4 linked regions of the Drosophila melanogaster genome follow. The protein of the gene in region 4 interacts with the protein of the main gene of each other region in a pairwise test. Each region holds a gene or a part of one and is shown on either strand. Other genes may lie near its edges. The genes, in order: Lmpt, CG12985, CG43691 and Rlip.

Region 1 (4,655 bases), on a different chromosome or scaffold from region 4:
GTCACGGGCTCTGGTTTTTATCGCCCGCCGCACGCAGTTCACGTTTATTGCATAGGTGCGGCAATCGCCCTTTCCAAAGGTTATGGCATTTTCATTGAACTTCACTTGGCTGCCTGTGGGAGTCGGGGATCCCGGGGATATCTATCCTCCAGCTCCGCAAATGCAGCGACTCGCGAGTGGCGATGGCAACAAAGAAATGAAGGCAGTTCATTGGCAGCACTGGCTGTTGACGCGTTGTCATCCGTCGAGCGGAAGTTCATTGCGAGTGAGCCGGAAATTTGTGGCATTCGGTTAAGGTTAGAGATTGCTAAAAATTGCTGCAGGTATTCGCAATTTGTTATTGATGTGCACAAACTGCTTTAGCTCGATTGAAAATATCCTTTATCCATTTATTTTGATTTTAAATAGATTGGGGGTGTAATATGCAAGTAAATAAATTTTTTTTATATGCGTGTTGATCGATTTTTAATTAGAAAATGTTGGATAAAGAAATTGCATTGTCTGTCGCCTTTCGGTGTTATTGTACAAAAAACCATGTTTAAATTTATTCAAAATAAATTTAAATTACCATCAGAAACACTTTCGCTTTCGTTGCGAAAAGCAAAATAAACATATGAATATATCAGAGCCCAGATGACCCATTTATTCATATAAATCTATCTATTTTTGCCACAATTTCTAATGACAATCAGATGATGAGAATAAACAAAAGAATACAAAAATAGTTTGGCTTTGTGGGGCAAAGAACACAATTATGCCGCGTTTGACAATAATTATACTGATTCTGAAAACGCAGAAGAGAACCACAGCGAAATCGGCGATAAAGAGCCTCTGAAAGCTGCTGGCAATGTTAGTGTCAGTGCCAAGACGAAATTTATGGCAAACATTTGTGTGCAATCCGCTCGGAGGCGGCGAAATGGGGCGTGGCGACCCTGGCCCCAGGCGCTGGCAATGCCAAAGAAAACTGATTTGCAAACACCAGGAACAGTAAAAGTCATGCCCATAAGAATTACGAATGCTAAAATATATTTTTCCCACTTTCGAGAATACCAAATTTTATTGGCAAAATAAACAAAAGAATTGGGCATTTTATAAACAAAATTGTATCTCAACATTGTACTCTTAAATGTTATTTTTTCTAAAATCGGAGATACGATGTGACCATTAATGCCAAATTAAGCATTTTTATGGAAATTGGCACCTTAGCTCTGTATATTATTGCAGCCAACTGTGCGTCTGAATAATATGTGTGGTATGCAGTATAGAAAGATCATGTTTTTCAGAAAATACTTGATTTTTTATTATTTTAAAATATCAAAAGAAACATTTTCTGATTAATTTTGATAAATTGAATTTTTAAACCTGAATAAAAGGATAGGAAAGAAAAGATCCCTAAATCTTGATACTTGCTTGAGATTAAAAAACTCTTCATTATGTTATCGAAATGACAGTTGCATTTGATTTTCCCTATCCGATTTATGGTCATGTCGCTAACTGTTCTCCCGCACGAAAACGGCGAGCAAAGCAGAAAGTGGCGAAAAGTGTTTTGTGGAAAACAGCAATCGAAGCATAGACCAAAAATAGTTCCCCCCAAACGAAAAGGGGGCGCGGCCGGCGGGGTGTCGACTAAACTGATTAGAAAATCGGCTTTGGCCAATTCCGATTGCTTTGGCATTTGACACGGAGGCAAGGCAGTGCAACAACGGCAGCGGACAGAAGCAGATACATTTGTGTTGCCAAATTGCCAGCGACAAAAGTCGGCGATGTCTTGTCAGCTCTACAGGCCTTTTGCTCTCATCGCTGGCCGTCAATTAGCGCCGTTTGCCATTTGAACGGATTCGGTTCTTGGCGGTTCTCTCGCCGCTGATTCACTTGTTCTCTAGAAATCGGGGGACCCATGGGCATTGGCTGGGGCATTAATCAGTTGCAAGACGATCGATTAGCGGAAAACAAGAGCTCGCCGCCCGAGCAACTGCATCCGCCTGGCGAGTCCGCCCATCTCCGATTCTTCTTGCTTCGCGCTCTCATAAATCGTCTCAAAACGTAGATAAATGAATATATATCGATGATTGGTTCAATGATTTGTGAGCGAAAGTGAAATAAATATTTTTCGAATTACCTAATCGGCTGGCCATTAACGTGAGTGGTGTGAATTTTCGAGTGCGTGGTGAATATATTTTATATAATACGTGTTAGCCGATTCGGTTCTCGTCGACACATACTCTCATTGCATCGGCGAACGTTGGAGGATTCGGATTCCGTTTCGATTCTGGTCATTACGCAATGGCCGCTGAGGAGACGGCGCTAACCGGCGTCGGCGAGCTACTATTCTCGCTGCTAATTGGATACCTAGGTGCCCTGGAATTCGCCTTTGTGGCGCGCCATCTATACCACTGGACTTTCCAACATCCCGGCGATTCTTCTGTAGATGCAGCAGCTGACGCAGAAGAATTGCCTCGCATGCGAGAGCGATTGGATAAGCAGATCAAGGAGGCGGCGGAAAGGGAAGCCCTGGCAGGAACCAATGTCATGCAGGATGGTGTCCTATATGTCAATGGAATACGAGTAGATCCTGCTGGAGATAAAAGACAAGCTTTGGCAGCCGAACTGGCACGTCAACAGCAAATTGAAGCCGATACGAGGCGTCAGCTGGCCGAAGCCGAGGCCAAGCTGGTAGAAGAAAGACTACGAGTCCAGAGGGAGAAAGAGGAATCGGAGGAGCAGCAGAGAAAGCTCGTAGAGGCGGAAAGACAGCGCGAAAGAGAGCAGGCGGAGAAAGAACTGCAGGAACAAAGAGAAGCCGAACGCAGACAGCTAGAAGCAGAAGAAAATCAGCGTAAACAGCGCGAAAACGAGGAGAAAGAACGCCTAGAAAACGAAAGAAGGCTGATAGATGCCGAACGGGAAAGGGAGGAGAATGAGCGAAGACTGCAAGAAGCTGAAGAGCAGCGCGAGCGAGAAGAAAGCGAAAGAAGAATCGTCGTGGCAGAGCGTCAGAGAGAGCAGGCCGAAGCCGAAAAGGAGCGAGCCGAACAACAAAGGATCCTGGCTGAAGCCGAGGCAGCGCAAGCCGAGCGTCGTCTCTTTGATGCCGAGATTCAGCGAGAGCGCGATCAAGCTGACGAAGAAGGGCAAGCACTGAGGGATGCGGAGATCGTAGAGCGTCTTCTGGCAGCAGAAAGAGAGCTCAGTCCAAGCGCTACAGAGAGCGAACTGGAGGAGGATGCTGCCATCGCAGAGCAGTCGCGTCGCCTGATCTCCAGCAGAACTGATCTGGAGCAAAAACAGCGAATGATTGAGGAAAACGCCAGACGCTTTCTTGAGGCAGAAGAGGAGATGGTAATGTTACAACAGCGCCAACTTCAAGCCTCACACAGCAAAGAGGAGGCAGACGAGTATGCTGGCATGGAACCCGTGGTGGAGGAGCTGTGTGTGAAGAAAGTGGCTCCACCCAGGTTTCAGGAGCCTCCAGAAGAACCCATGGTGCATAAAGTGAAAACTCAATTTGGTCAAGGAAGTGGTCCTGAAGACGCCTACTCAGCAAAGTCAAAAACACTCACCTTCCCTGGCGTATCGGATGAAGGATCCTCTCTTGAACCCAAAACTCCGTTCTCCATCCAGCAGTCGTCCTTCAGCACGCAGCCCTCTGATGAGGGCAACAGAATCGAAAGTGAACGCCCAGAACCTGAAGGAGAAGATCAGATACAGGAAGTCCAGTACACCGAGGACTACCTTCGTTCTCTAGATGGCATTAAGAATCGTCCTTTGATGCGAGAGGATGGTTCAGGGAGAAGAAGGGCTTTTAAGAAGCGACGATCCAGTGGAAGCTCGAACTCCTCGCGGGAATCGCGAGCCTCCCGCGACGAAGAACTAAAGATGTTCACCTCGCTAGAGGAGGAGGAGTTGCGCCACGGCGACCGAGAGGACTATAACCCCATCAAGTATACGAGCGAACCTACCCTGAGGGTTAAATCCCACCGACGTCACAAAAGGAGTCCAGCAAAGGATGTTAGACCAACGGCAGAGTCGACCACATCCTTAGAGATGCTCGGTGAGGAGAGCACAAATCCCTGGGGTGAGGTTGTGCCGGAGCATTATAAGGATACCGAGTTTTGGAAGCGGGAAAAAGCGCTCTCCATAGACGAGGAGGAAATCGAACTAGAAAGACCATCCAGGGGAGAGGATGTGGAGGAAGAAGCTACAAATGAGCCAAAATCGTCCTCCTTTGAAGAGGCCACTGAGGCACAAAACGAACAGGCAGTGGCTGCCCTAAAACAACAACTTTCCAAGGAGCAGTTGGTGAGTAAATGAATCTACAAGCCGAGGATCTATATCAATGATTTATTATGTGTGTGTTAGGACAAAGAAGCGGAGAAGGACAACCCGCAAGCAGTGGATACCAGCGACAGCAACAAATCCAATGTAAGTGCGTAGCACAGACACCTGGCATCATTTCTCACCCAATAATTTCGACCACAACCTAATCCACCAATCGCAGACACCACTGCCGCATAACTAACTGTCCTAACTGCTTTACCTCTTTGCTTTTCATATTGCTACTGCTCCCACATTCCGCTTGCTTTTCCGCTTCACCTTTCCCCCAAAAAGCTGCAAACCTCTATCGCAGCAGAGGAGCAATCAAGGGGTGGTTCACC
Region 2 (3,646 bases), on a different chromosome or scaffold from region 4:
TATCAAATGCACAATATTATGATAAAATGTGGTAATAAAACATAAATGATGTTGGCAATGATTAAATTTACTTCTCTATAAATCAAAAAGAACATAAAATGAGCATTTGGTTTGTATTATAAAGTCTCTAAATCTATTCGAGCGAACGATACCATATTTTCATAGTTTGCGATACTCATAAGATCACATTGGAAAACAAGTGTATGATTTCCCTTGCACACTTGCTGTCAATTGAATTGAACGTTCTGCCATTTTGCAACTTTCTTATAGAGAACATGGCCGTATCATTCCCTATTTCCGCCACTGTACTGACTGTTTTGTATTTTGTATGGTAATTGAAAACTGCGCATTCATTGATGACGGATGACGTCGCAGCTTTGACAGTGGCATTGAAAATTTCAGTTTCGCAAGCAGACTGCAGTAAACTGGTGACCAGTCGGCAGCAACAACAACAATGATAATGAATGCAGGAAGAACAAGAACAAGAAGACTACAATAACGATACTATATACCATGTATGTACATATATATATATATATATATATATAACAAAGGAACTGAATGGCCGGCATGAATTTCACTTAATAATGTGTTGCCCGAAAAACGTTTTTTTCCTCTGCATCTATGGAATTTCATCTTTCAAATAACTCATCTTGAATCTTAAATCAATTATGCGGATAGCATGTTTTCCCTGACTTTTATGCGTAATTTCAACGAAGAATTTGAATTCTCTCACGGAATAAATGTTAGTATATTCAGTGTAAATGAAAAATACGCAAATATCTATTATAGCGCTATCTATGTATCTATGAATCTGTATCTACAGATCGTTGCAATTGTTGATATTACTTCCGCCAGGTGGCGTTTTCCCCACCGCCAGTTAACTGCATTCATGGTTTCTGTTTTCCGCACACTTATTTATTTGGCCGCACTGATTAGAGACTGGAATCACAATAATAATAACCAAAACAAATGGCAGCACGTGCTTAGCATCTGGTTTGTTGTGATAAAGTGCGACTTTTCCCAGCCCACCCACACCTATGCCGCTTTCTACCCTTTCTCCGCTCGCCACACGTGCTTGCTAGTCAGCTAACCAGCTAGCTAGTTAGTCAGCTAGCCGCTAGCTAGTTAGATACTTAGTTAGCCAGCCAGTTGGCTGCGTCAGCGTCGCAATTGCGCCGCAATTGGGCACTAATGAAGTATTCTTGATACGCATTTACACTGCATTGGGCAAAGGGAGAAAGAAGGTGCGAAAGGTGAGCAAGGTGCGAAAGCTGCCAACTGAGGTGCTGATTACCCATCGCTATGGCAGCCATTTATCCTGCAGGACAATGGGAAATGGGAAAGCTGGAAAAGCGCTGGTGGAAAAGTATGGGCAACCACTCAGCTCAATTAAAAAATCGTTAAAGGGCAAACAATTGCTTTTCCGTTTCACAAATACGTTCTAGCTCTTTTAGACGGTAAGTTAAGGGGTTCCCATCATCAATTAAACTGATACTATGCGAAAGTACTAGAAAGCCAGCCAACTGTAAAGAATCGCAAAATACCCTGAAATATGTATATATTCTATGGAATATCTAGTAGTTTTGAAAGCAGCAGCCTGAGTCGCTTTCCTCAAATTCCGGATTCAAAATGTATATATTTCCACCATATACCCTGCTCCTTATCATCCTCCGCATTGTGAGTGTCCGTGCGATGAGCTTCGACCAGCCCCACAACGAACACGACGCCTCCCTGGCTAGCTATTTGGACAACACCAACGATGACATATCTCCCCAGGGCTTCAACGGCGATGGGAATGGTAGTTCGGGGGCCACAGTGGTGCCATTCCCTTATCTGGGATGCACCACAAGACCGTCCTACCAATCTGGATGTGAAAGCATGGACGAAAGCGCTAGGGACCGAGAAAAAGATCGCAATATTGATCGGGATCGAGGCCGAGATTGGGATCGAAATAGGGGTTGCGATAGAAACAGGGATCGGGACAAAGACAGGAATAATATTAGAGATAGGGACAACTGTGACTCCTGTGACGAGATTATCAATTCGCGGCTGAAGGCCACCCACATTGCCCAGAATGCCGCCCAGGTGGCCAAGGCAGCCAATGATGCACAGGCGGCCGCCGCTCAAGATGCATCGCGGCAGGCGAAGATGCAGCTGGCGGAAAAGGCCATCTCCGCTGCCCGTGCCGCCGATGCGGTGCTCGAGGGCAAACAGGCAATGGTGGACAACTACGCTAGGGAGATCCGGGATGCCGAGGAGGTGGTCGGACAGGTGAGCTGCTCGCTGCAGAACAGTGAGACGAACGTGGAGGCCTCCTGTGCCGTGGTCAAAGCAGCGGAGGTTCAAGCCGAAACATTCAGGTATAATTGATAAATATTCAATATTCAATATTGTTCACAATCCATCCAACTATCTACACAATTTAAAAGCGGAACAATTATATCGTTATATCTATCATAATATCTACCAGCGATAACATATCGATTTTTAATATCAATGCTTTTTCGATTACTAATGTTTTCAGGGCCCTCGTACAGCAGACGAGTGGCATTTTGTCGGAAATGGACAGCCTAATCGACCAGTCGAACATGGATATCGAGGAGAAGAACCAAATGCTGGCGGCGGCGAAGGCACGTGGTGACCGCCTGGCCCGCCAGGTGGCGCAAGCTAAGTCGGAGTACGAGCAGGTGAAGGAGGCGGCCTGTCGCGCCGCATCCGCCGCCGTGGAGGCCAAGCAAAAGGTCGGCACCGGCAGTTTGCTGTACAAGTCGTCGGTTCACCGCCTACCCACTGTCGCCATAAGGGCCAATGGAGCGCGCGGTTACGCACTCGACAGGAACACCTGCAATGCTCTCCTGGATCTCTACAGGCAGCGCCGACGGCAGCAACAGCGAATGCGGCGGGAGAAAATCCTGAACGGACTGGATCGCTATCAAGGGAATTCACTGTACGGGGATCACTCGTACTAACAAATGCGCTCCCTACTAACGGATGCTACGTCCACAATTCTGTTTTTCTAAACGCTGCAAATTATTTTAACTCTATTTGGATAAGAGTTTCGAGATTTTTCAACAATTTCAGTTTCACTTTTTGAGCGTAAATATGAAGTATTACCTAAATGCGAGTTGTATAATCCTTGTTTTCTTGTTAATTTATTTCCTACTTTTAAGATCGTACTAAATAGCTTGCACATATCATTACAAATCATTAATGTATTGTCAGTTATGTACATATTAAAGATCTTCCCCGTATCGAGTGACCACCGTAGCTGCTTCAATACACAATTGTTTACCAACAAATTCGCCTGACAGTGTCGTAATTCTTGCGAAATAAACAATAACAATGGGAAATGAGTGCAAGGCCAAGACGCAACGAAACACGATCGCAAAGAGGAGAAGGAGAGTGGGAGGGGGAATAGAGAAGGAGATAGTGTGGAAAAGCCATCTTGTCCAGCGGAAGAACGAATGAAAATCACAGCTGCCAATGCGAGGCTGCCAGCTGTTTGGATTTTTCCTCCTTTTCCCTTATGTATTTGTTTTTTGGAAAAATTGTGGGCGGTTGGGTGTAAAAAGTGCAACGCAAGCAGGGTTGCCACCTTTTGCGGCTCTGTTGCGTCGTTGTTTTTATTGCTATTTTGGCGTCG
Region 3 (6,062 bases), on a different chromosome or scaffold from region 4:
GCGACAGTACGAGGATCTACCGATGGAGGATCAACAGGCGGCGGTTGGAGTGCGTGATGAATTGCTCCTGGATCTGGTTTATCTCCAGAAGATGGCCGAATCCGCAGAGCGCAATCAACGTAACGCCCGTTTGCAGGAGGTGCTCAAACAGACCAGCCTGGACGAGGTCCTGGAAAAGAGTCTAACCACCGAGTACTCACCGCGTTTTATAAAACTGCTAAAGACGGCGGAGCTTTATAAGGAGGCGGGCGAGCAGCAGGCCAAGGCATTTGTGGGTCTTTAGACCGCTTTAATCAACGTTTTAGATTTTTGTTTCAATTCATTAGTTGTTTTTTTCAATTAAAAATTCCCTTTGTTTGAGTTAAGTCATATATTTTTAACACATTTGAAATAAGCAACAAAATTCGTTTGAATTTATGTCAATAAATATTTTGAATAACACTTAGTTATTGTAAAATATTTTTAAGAATATAGTTTTATCCAAAGTAGTGCGAGAGTCCCAGATTGGCACCCAGATCGGTCTGGCCCTTGAAGGGTCCACTTGTCCACTTGGATGCCGTGCTGCCCAGATCTAGCCTTGTGTTGCGATCCTGCGACTGCCAAAGATTGGCACGCCCACCCAGCTCCAATTGCTTACCCAATCCGGGAATATTGGCGTGCGTCAGGGTAGCTCCATGACCTTTGATGTGGGAGTAGTCCAGTGCAGCTTCATTTCTATCGAACTTGAAGCCATTGGCAAGCTGATTCTGCGAGGCAAATGCCTTGGCATCCAGATTGTGAACACCGTTGTTGAACAAATTGGCGGTGGCCGTTTGCTGGAAGCTATCCCGCACACCGGGCGTATGGGTTTTGGTCAGTTCCAGGCCGTGTCCATGACTGCTCATGAAAAATAAGATTAGTTTCGCTATTGCTCAGATCGTAATCCTTTAAGAGACTCACTTGTTGTAGCCCAGGGTGGCGCCGCTGGTTACGGGAGTGGATACCGGTTTGGTCTGCGTGTTGCCCGCTGCGAACACTTGTCCAATAACATGGTGATCGGGAGTTCCAACGGCCTTGCTTAGGTCCAATCGGGCATCGGCACCGCCACTCGGATTGGATGTGAGTGATCCACCCAACACCTGGCGACGTGCCCTGTAGATTCTGGGTGGCGTCGGTGGTGGAGATCAGTGGCTGGGTATACGGACGTTGGGGCAAGGCCACCGCAAGGGAGCCAAGTACGCCAACGATGACCACAATTAGGAGAACAATTTTGCTCATCTTGCTGTATTAATCTCTTGATTTTCGATCTACTTGACTAAGCGGCTGACTGTTGACTGACGATGCTGGGATCTGGTCACCGTGAATTATATAGCAATCTATCTCTGAGTGGGGCTTCCCATCGAAACCGACAATGAATACCAATTTATAGATGGAAGATTTGTGATGCCTTATCTGTAAGCTGAGCAATGTTTCGCACTGGGATCCCCGAATGACCAGGTGGTTCACACCGTCTGATAAGAGATTGTGCATCCCCTTGAAACTACTTGCCGGTGATTTGCAAACTCTTTAAGGGTTTATTTTGAAGACAATTTTAATTAAATATATTTATGAATTTATATATAATAAAACAAGAATTTTAAAATAAAATCAATTTGAATTCAATTTATAATAACATATTTGCCAATGAGTAAGTTCAAATTTTAATAGAGTTAGCTTTTAAATTTTTTATGACATTTCATGACATTTAAGACTGTTTAAAAATCTAGTTAATTGGTATTCTTTGTATACACAATTCAGAGGATAAGGGATCAAATTCGATTAGTACGCGATGCAAGTGCCCCTGCTCCACCGGAGCACCCAGATGGTGCTGCTGAAGAAGCAGATCCGGCGGAAGGCGAAGGAGTTGCGTCTGCGAAAGCGTCACGCCCACCGCCGCCTTCAGGTGATGAGAAGGATCCGTGACCATCTGCTCGACAGGATGAGGAACTCCATAGATCACCGGCAGCGGGATGCGGAGCAGAAGAAGAGGGAGCAGACACGGAGGGCGGTGGGCGGTATGCTTTCCATGTACAAGCATTGGCTGCGCAGCTGGTCAAAAGCTTTAAGGTTACAAAGTCAGCTAATTCGGCACCAGGAGCATGTAAAAGTGGGAATGCGTCGCAAACTTCGACACTTGAGGAGGCAGTTGAAGAAAGTCCGCAATCCAAAGAACTTGGTCGACAAGTGCTTCCATCGACTGTTCAAGGCAGTTAGGAAGTGGCAAAAGAAACCGGATTACTACGAACACGTCAAGGATCAGGACAAGATCTGGGAGGCAGAGGCACTGGAGGTTCGAAACTATTTATCGGAGGTTCGGGGAAGGCGACCACGAAAGCTAAGCCGTGGCAGGGTTAAAAAGGATTTCGAAATCGAGGACTTTGCTAAATTTTGGAAAACTGAAGTGTTGCAAACAAACGCTATGATCAATAAACAAAGGGCCATGAGAGGAAGAAACGTGCCAGTAGATACAGCACATGATAAAACTAGGAAATCAAAGAAGAAATTGTGGAAAAGAAAAAAATTATATATCAGCTTAGATGAACTTGTTATTCGGAAAAAATTGAAAAGAATTCGGAAGGACATTCGAAAGCCAAAGAAACATGATCCATTAAAACCATCTTTAGAGGAACTGAAAATGTTGATAAGGGAACTAATCAGCTTCAACTGGAAAAAGATAGTTATTAAAAACCCGAAAATTAACAGAAAAGCCATAAGAAACCCCAAATTTGATTTTGACAAAATCTCCGATATTACAACTTTAAACCCAAAAGTACGAATAAAAAGAATTGTGAAAAGCGGACGAGCTCCCAGAAATGTTCCAGATCCGAAAATCATTAAATTCAAGGTAACAAGACCTAAACTTCGAAAGCGTAAAATGCACTATGTGGATAGGGTAATTAAAGACGAATTAAATGCACTTTTAGAGACAAAGGCAAAGAAAAGGGGCAATCGTCATGGAAAAACTAAAGAAGCTGAAACTTTTCAACAGGAAAAGGAAAAAAGAGACTTGGAAAAGCAAGAAAATGTACTCGAAAGATTATATAATGATATACCCCTATATATGAGGCGTGATATTGAGAGAAGAAATAGGAAAAAACTACGTGACAAACTTCAAGCTTCTAGTTCGAGTAGTTCGATTGCGTCCAAAGAGGTTTTCATCGGATCCGAAAAAGTGGCCACTAAGTCGGATAAGCACAAAAAGCTTTCCAGTACGAGCAGCGTTTACGTAATCAAAGACCGACCCGAATTATCTGCCGAGAGGAGTGGTTCTCATGTGTTATTCAAAAGGGATAGCGTTGCGTCCCTCACTGAATCACTGAATAAATTAGTTATGGGCAATCGAAACCGAAAATTTACCCGTAAATCTATTCGCATGCCACCCATCATACCCAAGAAGATCCGCGTTGCTCCTCCAAGAGGTCAAGAGGAAAGTCACTATCAGTCTTTGAAGAAGGATATCATGTACCTTCCTACAAACAGCGAGCATATGGGTGTATCTAGGATTACAGCCAGCGAATCAGCTCTGCACAGAGGGAACCAATCGAACAGGCATCTTCCACGAAGGGCTTCCGATACCCAAGTTGGTATTTATCCGACTAAATCCCAAAGCCAAGTTTTTGGTCATCTATCTTCGAAATCGACATCCAAAAATAAATTTAAATATGATGCGCTGCCAGATGATCTTGAAAAACTCCTTGCACCGGTGCGAGATCGCCACGACAAAACAGAAAATGCCCCAAAGCCCTACGTCAAAGAGTTCGAATTCGAACGGTTTCATTTGAAAGATCTACGCTCAGATGCCAAATTCAAACACTTGCAGTTCCTCCTTAAGGACGTCATACAAAGAAACGAAGTTATCGAGTATATTGCCGATGTTAATGGACTTATGCAGGAAGTAGCTAACCATGAAATGTGGTCCCATCTTCAGAGTCTCTACAACGAACTCACAGATGCAGGAGTTACGTTAACGCAAATTAAGGAAAGTCTGGCCAAAAAGTACTTGGAGTATCTTAACGAAATAGTGACCGAGAAGAACTATGCACGAATGGAACCGCCGCGGGACAATATGCTTAACGTTTTGGAAACCGAATCTATGAAAGCCAAACAGAAGAAAGAGGTGGAAAAGTTTATGGAGCGAAACTGGTGGTCTAGGAAGCGGGTCAGCACACGGCTCATTCCCTTCGGCATGCGGGGAATAAGGACGAGCAAAATTGACCCATCTCACAGCTCACGCCAGTCGCAGGAAATCAAGATGAACGGCGGAATGTACAATAAACTCCTCGAGCAGGAGCTCAATGCAGAACGATTGGAGCGCGAGGAGCGTAAGAGAAGACGCTTTAGCAGCACCTTTGGATCAACTATAAGCTTCAACAACAGCTTGGATCTGGCGGCCAACGAGGAGCAGGATGTGCGGGACATCGAGTGGCGCTACTCGCTACACAACATTAGGAGCATGATGAACCAGCACCAGCTGATGTTTCAGGTGGGTTAACTATACTCAACCGCCAAAAAGTTATAAAATAACATCTTCGAAATACATTTTTATTCTTTCTTTCAGGCTTTGGATCGCAAATCGCGAGTGGAGCAGTTGGTCCACAAGAAGATGAAGGGAAAAGTCGAAGAATTGTATACCTCTGCACAATTTAGGCGTCCTAAATTCCGTTCCACCACTTTTACGGCAAGGAAGAGGAGCAAAGATCTTAGGCCCATCGAGGAACTTTACTACTCACCCCGAAAAACTTGTCGCCTGCAGAAGATCTCCTGTTCCGCAGAGTGTTTGGCATGCGAAGGCCAAGTTGAGAAAATTGGTGATTCGATGATCCTGGACAAGTGTCCTCGGTGTGGAGTAAAGGTGCCTGTGCCCGCGCCCACTACCCCGTTCTCCATGTCGTCCTCGTCCAGCTGCGAGATCTTGTCCAGCGGATCCATAGAAGCCTGTGCCAAGAACAAGCTGCTAATCAACACGCTCGAGGACCTTTGCACACGCTGTGGCTATGTCCATAAAAAGGGGCATCTTTGCTCACAGTTACCCATGAATGAGCGGAAGACCAAGCTTCTAAAGCGGATTAAGGGCACCGTACCTACTGCTCCCGAGTGCCCGGCATTTTGCTGCCCACGCGGGATCCTTAAGAATACCAGAAGTTTTGATCCTTAGCAGGGGCGACAAGGAGTGCTGAGTACTTTTGAAGCCACCAAAGTGGTAACTAAACTCCGGATATGCACGGATATGAGCACCACCAAATCAGCCGGCTGAGGCGAATGAAACATTTGGTTTAAGTGCTAAATAAATTCAAGTAATGAGTTTGCCTCTGTCTGTGGGTGTGCCTGTGTTGTTAAATGCTTTGCCAAGTTTCATAAAATATGCAAGGACTTTTGCACACACACACACACACACATTGCACACCAACAAACAGGGCCAAGCTCATGCGATGCACTCACGTAGAGAGAAAATGTCTGCGGGCTTTTAATACACTTGCAGGATGCTCCTTCTCCTGGTCGTGTTCCTTATCCCCTTGCTGCTCCACCCACTGCTCCCCCCGATGCTCCTGCCACGACTTCTCGCTCATGCAACGAAATTTCATCTTGCCTCCTTTTTTTTTCGGCCAAGTTTTTAAGTCGAGCCATTGCTGTAATGGAATTTTATTGCATACTCGCACTCGCATTCTGTTTGCGCAAGCGAAACATGTTTCAGACATTTTCATAAATGAAAACGCTTAACTACACAGCCGCCGATTGGCCGAAGATCAGGCAGGCTCTCAAGGAATTTTCCGAGTAACAGATCCTATATTTCAAAATTGTTGCAATTAAAATGGAACTGTGCTTACAATGTTATTGGTTCTTCAGTAAGGATATTCTCATTTAATTTAGGACATTTTATGTATTTTTATACCAGATCAGTGGATATTACTTACTGATTTATAAAGCTTGTAAGACTGCATTTGGAAATCCTAATATTTGTTAATCTAGTTCTTGCTCTTACAAATCTGCTTATTTTTCTTTTTTCATTTTATATATAACTTGTGACCGAATAAATTCCTTCGAGT
Region 4 (5,398 bases):
AGCACAAAGACAAACAGCAATGGCAATAAAGCAATGGGACAGAGAGACAACCCAGCTGCAAGCTAATTAAAGTTGCGACAGAACGAAGCCAGTCGCCAGTAGTCCGCCAGTTGCGAATGGAGCAATTTCCAGCCGGGAGTGTTTGCAATCCTGGTACTATCCCGTGAGAAGGGCTGAAAAAGGACTGTAAAATACCCAGTTCCCATCTATAGTTATCTGTCGTGCCTGCAAGGGGCTACGGCAACTTTGGTGGTATTGACAAAAAAAAAACGAAAGATACATGTCACAGTTATCATATATAAATTATCAGTCATTTGAATAAATCATTATTCATTATTATTATTATTTTCACTTCTTGTTACAGATAAAGTTACATAAACTGCGTATACCCTCTTGTTCGGCACACATCCAGGGTACCACACGGCAAATATGTCCTGCAACGAGAAGACAGCGCTTCTGGCAACGCAACAAGGACATCAGCAGCGGCAGCAGCGGCAGCAGCAGCACATCATTGTCGTGCCCGCGACGGGGAAGGATCCAAAGGATTATGAGCCCATTTTCACAACTGCTGAGTAAACGCTTTCCGTCGTATTTCATTAAAAAATAACTTCGTTACACAGTGCCGCCTGCCCGCTTCTTTCGTAGCTATTCCTACGGACTGACGCTCGAGGAGCTCCTGCCCTTCGCTCTGGATCCCTGGTGGCAGGCCGTACGGCGCCTCAGCTGCGGGCTCCTGGGCCTGACTTTCCTGCTGACCCTGATTGCTGGACTGGTTATGGCCTATTCCGACAGTGTCTGTCTCCCAAATAGAGCAATTAGCAGAAACGCGACCACCACGACAACGATGGCCACGCCACTATCCTTGGCTCTCAACGGCTCCCAGCTGCTGATGGCCAGTTTATAGTGGCCGTAAGCTAATCTGTGTAGCATTTTGGAGATGCCGCAATCCACCCTGCGGAATTGCATCAGCCGCATCAGCTCGCACTATTAGCATTTGTTTGGCTTGCCGGTAATGGAGGCGACCTAATCCTCCTCCTCTCTACTGTTTACCCCTACTCAAGCTGAGTGATAAGCGATGCACCGCGGGATTGATTGGTCGTGAAATAATTATACTGATTAACTTATTTGCTACACAACCGCCTACTCGTAAAGTAAAAAGAATGCAAAAGGTATAAGGAAGCGTTTCCGTACCAATTAAGAACATTGTATCGCAAACTTATTAATTTTTATATATATACATATATATATATGAATATTACTTAAACTAATAAACGAATAGTTTTTTTTCATCGCTGTATTCTGGTTTCGGTTTCTGGGAGTTTAGAAGTTAACAAACCGCCTTATAGTTTTACAGCCCCACCCTGAAAAAATGGTTTGATTTAGTTTTATTTTATAAATAGTCTTGGCAATTTGTATACTTGTGAAAAAACATTTTCACCACGCCCACACTAGCGCGCACAATTAACAAAATCCTGTAGTTACAGAGGTGGTACTCTTGTCATTTTGGAAGTTTTATGTATTATGTAGTTTATGTATATATATAAAAAATATTTTCTTAGAATTTAAATTATTTAAAATATTATTATTATTATATTATATATTAACACATATTTATTTATTTATTTATTATATATATATATATATATATATATTAATATTATAAAAATTTAAGAGTTAGTAGCTGATCGCATTTCTGATAGTTGAGGAACTCGACTGTAGCGTTTTCTCTTGTTTCAATTTGCCTTTTTTTAAATATCTACACCGTTACTACATATTTTTTACATGACACAGTAGCGCCATCTGTGCACTTATCAGTGTTGGATAGCAGCGGCGACTTCGATTAAGCAATCGATTATTTGTTGCATATGTTGTTTACGGCAATTGTTTATATTTATTTACTGCTGGTGAAGTGATTATTCGTGATGGATTTTGACAGTCCCGAGGAGAAGGAGTTTCCCGGGCTGTACGCCTCCGAGGCGGCGGACGCTAAGTCGAGGAAGAGCAAGGAGGAGAGCGACTGTGAGTGGAGCGCAAAGATGTGGGCGTAAGCTGGGAAAAAATCAATGGGCTCACCTTGCCTTTACAGTTAGTGAGGATCACGACCATAGCAAGAAGGACTTGTTGATTGGCCGGCGCAAGGACAAGAAGGAAAAGGGCAAGGATCGAGGATACGCCGCTCTGGAGGGCGAGAGCTCGCCGGAGGAGGAGCTGGACACCAAGTGGGTGCAGGTCAGCTGACCCAGAGACAAGTAATATTTTTTCTTTTACTTCCAGAAGTCCATCCAAGTCGAAAAAGTCAAAGACCTTTAAGTTCACCAGCTCCAAGAGCAAGGAGAAGCGGGAAAAGTCGCGGGACAAGTCTGAAAAAGACTCGAAGCACGCAGAGGAGGAGCCTTCCGTCTCCCACAAGGTCAAGGAGAAAGAGCGGGATAAGGAGAAGGACCGTGATGAGCCCAAGAAGAAGGACAAGGAGGAGAAGCGCAAGGAAAAGGACAAGAAGGCTGACAAGAAGGACAAAAAGGATAAGAAGAGCAAGCAGCTGTCGCAGCAGCAGGACGACGTCTCCGCCGCGGAGGAAGTGCTGGCACTTGGGTATCCCGTCTTTGGGGTGTCCGTTAGCTTGGCGACCGAACGATCCCGCTGCCACGACGGCGTGGACATTCCCCTGGTTGTGCGCGACTGCATCGACTTCCTGCAGGATCACCTGAAGTGTGAGCAGATCTACAAGATTGAGCCCATCAAGACGCGTCTGATGCACTTCAAGCGGTTGTACAACAACCGGGAGCACGACTCCGCCGTTGATGAGCTCAACCTGCCTACCGCCTGCAGTCTGCTGAAGCTCTTCCTGCGCGAACTGCCGGAGCCACTGCTGACCACCGATCTGGTGGCCCGCTTTGAGGAGGTAGCCTCTCATCCGAAGGTAACCACGCAGCAGGCAGAGCTGCAGCAGCTGCTTGAACAATTGCCCAAGTGCAATCGCACCCTCTTGGCGTGGGTGCTGCTCCACTTCGACGCGGTGATCCAGCAGGAAAGACACAATAAGCTCAACGCTCAGTCGCTGGCTATGCTGCTCAGTCCGACGCTCCAGATGTCTCACCGACTAATGGTGGCCCTACTCTGCCACTGCAACAACTTGTTCGCGGACGTCCAGCTGATAAAGTGAGCAAACACCGGCTAGCCGGATAACAGTGGTGGGAAATATCCAAGTACCTTTGTGTTGGTAAAAGAGAAGTCCACATTTAACAACTATAGTTAAATCACAAGAACGAATCGAAGTCATAGCTCTGAAGTTAACTACTAAACTGTTAGTTTTAGTAAACTGTTAGTTTCCATATTTATCTAATGATATAAATTGTTTTTTTATATGTATAATAGGTACTTATAAGAACCCAGATAATTCCCACCACTGTTGGCAGTTGATAAGATTGCTGCTATAAAAATCGCCAGATTTAGTCGTTTATTTTGCAACCGACGATGAGCACATTACCCCGTAAACAGAAGCGCTTTCCACGTTTCGCCAGTTTTCTAATCAGGCAGAATGGCACACATTTAAACAAAGTTATCATAATACTAAATTGTCATCTCTTAGGTATGTGCCCCCTTTAACATCGACCAGCCCAAAGCTTCCGGATACGCCGGAGGACATCCAGACGGAGTTGCGCAAGCAGGACAGCCTCCTGTCCCAGATCCACAGCGAGATGAACGCCGGGTTCATTACCAAGAAACGCGAGGAACAGCTGTGGGAAGTGCAGCGCATCATTACCCAGCTGAAGCGGAAACTACGAACTTTTGAGAAGAAACAGGAAAAGACTGCGGAGGAAGTAGACAACAGCAGCAGTGCTCCGCCCGCTGTAGCCAGTGAAGATACCACTGACTCCAAACCAGCTGGAACTCCAGCCGTATCTACGAACAACAGTATTTCCCAGGAAGAGCCAAAAACCGATACACTAACTCCGAAAGATGCTCCTAACGATTTTACTATTGATCCCAGCACTGGCTTTATTTTGCTCCCCAAATCAAATCCGCACCGCGAAAATTTGCTGCGGCTCCAAATTGAATATGACGAGCTAATGGAATGGCAGAACGAACTAAAAGCACGTATCGTCGCCGAGCGCAACGAAGTCTATAGGCTCAAGCAGCTGTACGAGCAGCAGTCAATAAACAGTCAAATGGCCTCCTTGGCCTCGGGATCTCAGGCTCCCCCAGAATCCGACTATGAGCGGATAATCGAGCACTATACACGGGAGAATGCGCTGCTGGAGCACAAGAAGAATATGCTGGGCATGGAACTAAAGGAGGAACGACGGGCCTGTATTGCTCTACAAGTTGAGCTGCGGCTCCAGCAGTTTTAATGTATTAATTCGATTAATGTATTACTTGGATGGGTCAATTTGAGGGATATAACTAAGTTCCTATTCCGGAAACTTAATGGTCACATTTCCAAAGAAACATAAAAGGTCTACTAGGCAATCATAGGAGGTTTCTTAGATTCGTAGAAGACAATTCTATGTCACATATCTAAAATATTCAAATGAATAAACTTGTAAAGTTTTTGATAATTCATTTATCTGCAAACGTAGTCACTGTTCTAAACAGTGTCCTTTGTGAATTGCAATATATGAGAATTTTCAGTTCAGCTTTTAAGGAGATAAAATACTGCTAAAACATAAAACGGATTCCTCATGCCTAAAGTCAGTTTATTGTTTATTTGGAAATGAGCTAGTTTCAGACTTGACCCACCGAAATATATGTATGTATATAGGGTTACCAATTTTAAATCTCAATGTCTACTTGCGATCAAATGCTTTGTTCAAACTATAATTACTGTTAAACGGCGCAAAGCCCCAAAGAAATCTTGTTAGACAACTTTACTGCTTTCAACAATTAAATGAGAAAACAAACTCAAAATTCCCTTTTCTGTACTGAACTATTGCATCGAAATATGTCTCCTCGAAGAATTTTGTAAATGCCGGTAAAGTAGCTGCGTTTGTGTGTGCCGACAATCAAGATCCGATTTTCTAAATCGGTCTGATGACTTAATTCCAATCCGAGAAATACAGGGCACAGATTAGAAGATGTTTAGACGACGGATTGGCTGTTCGCTGGGGTGAAACGGAAATGACATCATCTCATATTACGTCTTGTCAACATTGTGATGGTCAAGGAACCGAGGTGGGCTTTGCGTGTTACGATTACTTTATTTAATATTTATTATTAATAATTTTAGAATACATTATCATTATGCATTACGTTCGGGGCGTGTTTTCTGTATTCCGCTGAAGTACAACTTAAAAATATCACACACAAATACCACGGGGGAAAGATGAGTCCTCCGGAATGCCAAACCGCGTCAACTCGCTCCCCTCCATGATTAAGTTATTTCCGCTGGACTACAGAT

What was found.
Region 1: the proteins of Rlip (region 4) and Lmpt interact in a two-hybrid assay, tested with the Drosophila melanogaster proteins (one large-scale study listed by BioGRID).
Region 2: the proteins of Rlip (region 4) and CG12985 interact in a two-hybrid assay, tested with the Drosophila melanogaster proteins (one large-scale study listed by BioGRID).
Region 3: the proteins of Rlip (region 4) and CG43691 interact in a two-hybrid assay, tested with the Drosophila melanogaster proteins (one large-scale study listed by BioGRID).

The regions. Positions count from the first base shown.
Region 1 is NT_037436.4:16,897,770-16,902,424, forward strand, and holds the start of Lmpt (limpet), read left to right. Parts: upstream 1-1,645; 5' UTR 1,646-2,283; coding exon 2,284-4,299; intron 4,300-4,359; coding exon 4,360-4,422; intron 4,423-4,608; coding exon 4,609-4,655.
Region 2 is NC_004354.4:17,882,113-17,885,758, forward strand, and holds CG12985 (uncharacterized protein), read left to right. Parts: upstream 1-1,605; 5' UTR 1,606-1,695; coding exon 1,696-2,363; intron 2,364-2,527; coding exon 2,528-2,972; 3' UTR 2,973-3,126; downstream 3,127-3,646.
Region 3 is NT_033778.4:13,388,964-13,395,025, reverse strand, and holds CG43691 (uncharacterized protein), read left to right. Parts: upstream 1-1,664; 5' UTR 1,665-1,807; coding exon 1,808-4,501; intron 4,502-4,576; coding exon 4,577-5,173; 3' UTR 5,174-5,531; downstream 5,532-6,062. Other genes in the region: CG4744 (uncharacterized protein), read left to right, coding at 1-283.
Region 4 is NT_033777.3:21,015,856-21,021,253, forward strand, and holds Rlip (Ral interacting protein), read left to right. Parts: upstream 1-1,828; 5' UTR 1,829-1,922; coding exon 1,923-2,019; intron 2,020-2,086; coding exon 2,087-2,219; intron 2,220-2,274; coding exon 2,275-3,159; intron 3,160-3,589; coding exon 3,590-4,352; 3' UTR 4,353-4,898; downstream 4,899-5,398. Other genes in the region: CG5697 (uncharacterized protein), read left to right, coding at 430-572, 646-904. UniProt on the Drosophila melanogaster protein: Participates in receptor endocytosis during interphase, is also involved in mitotic processes when endocytosis is switched off.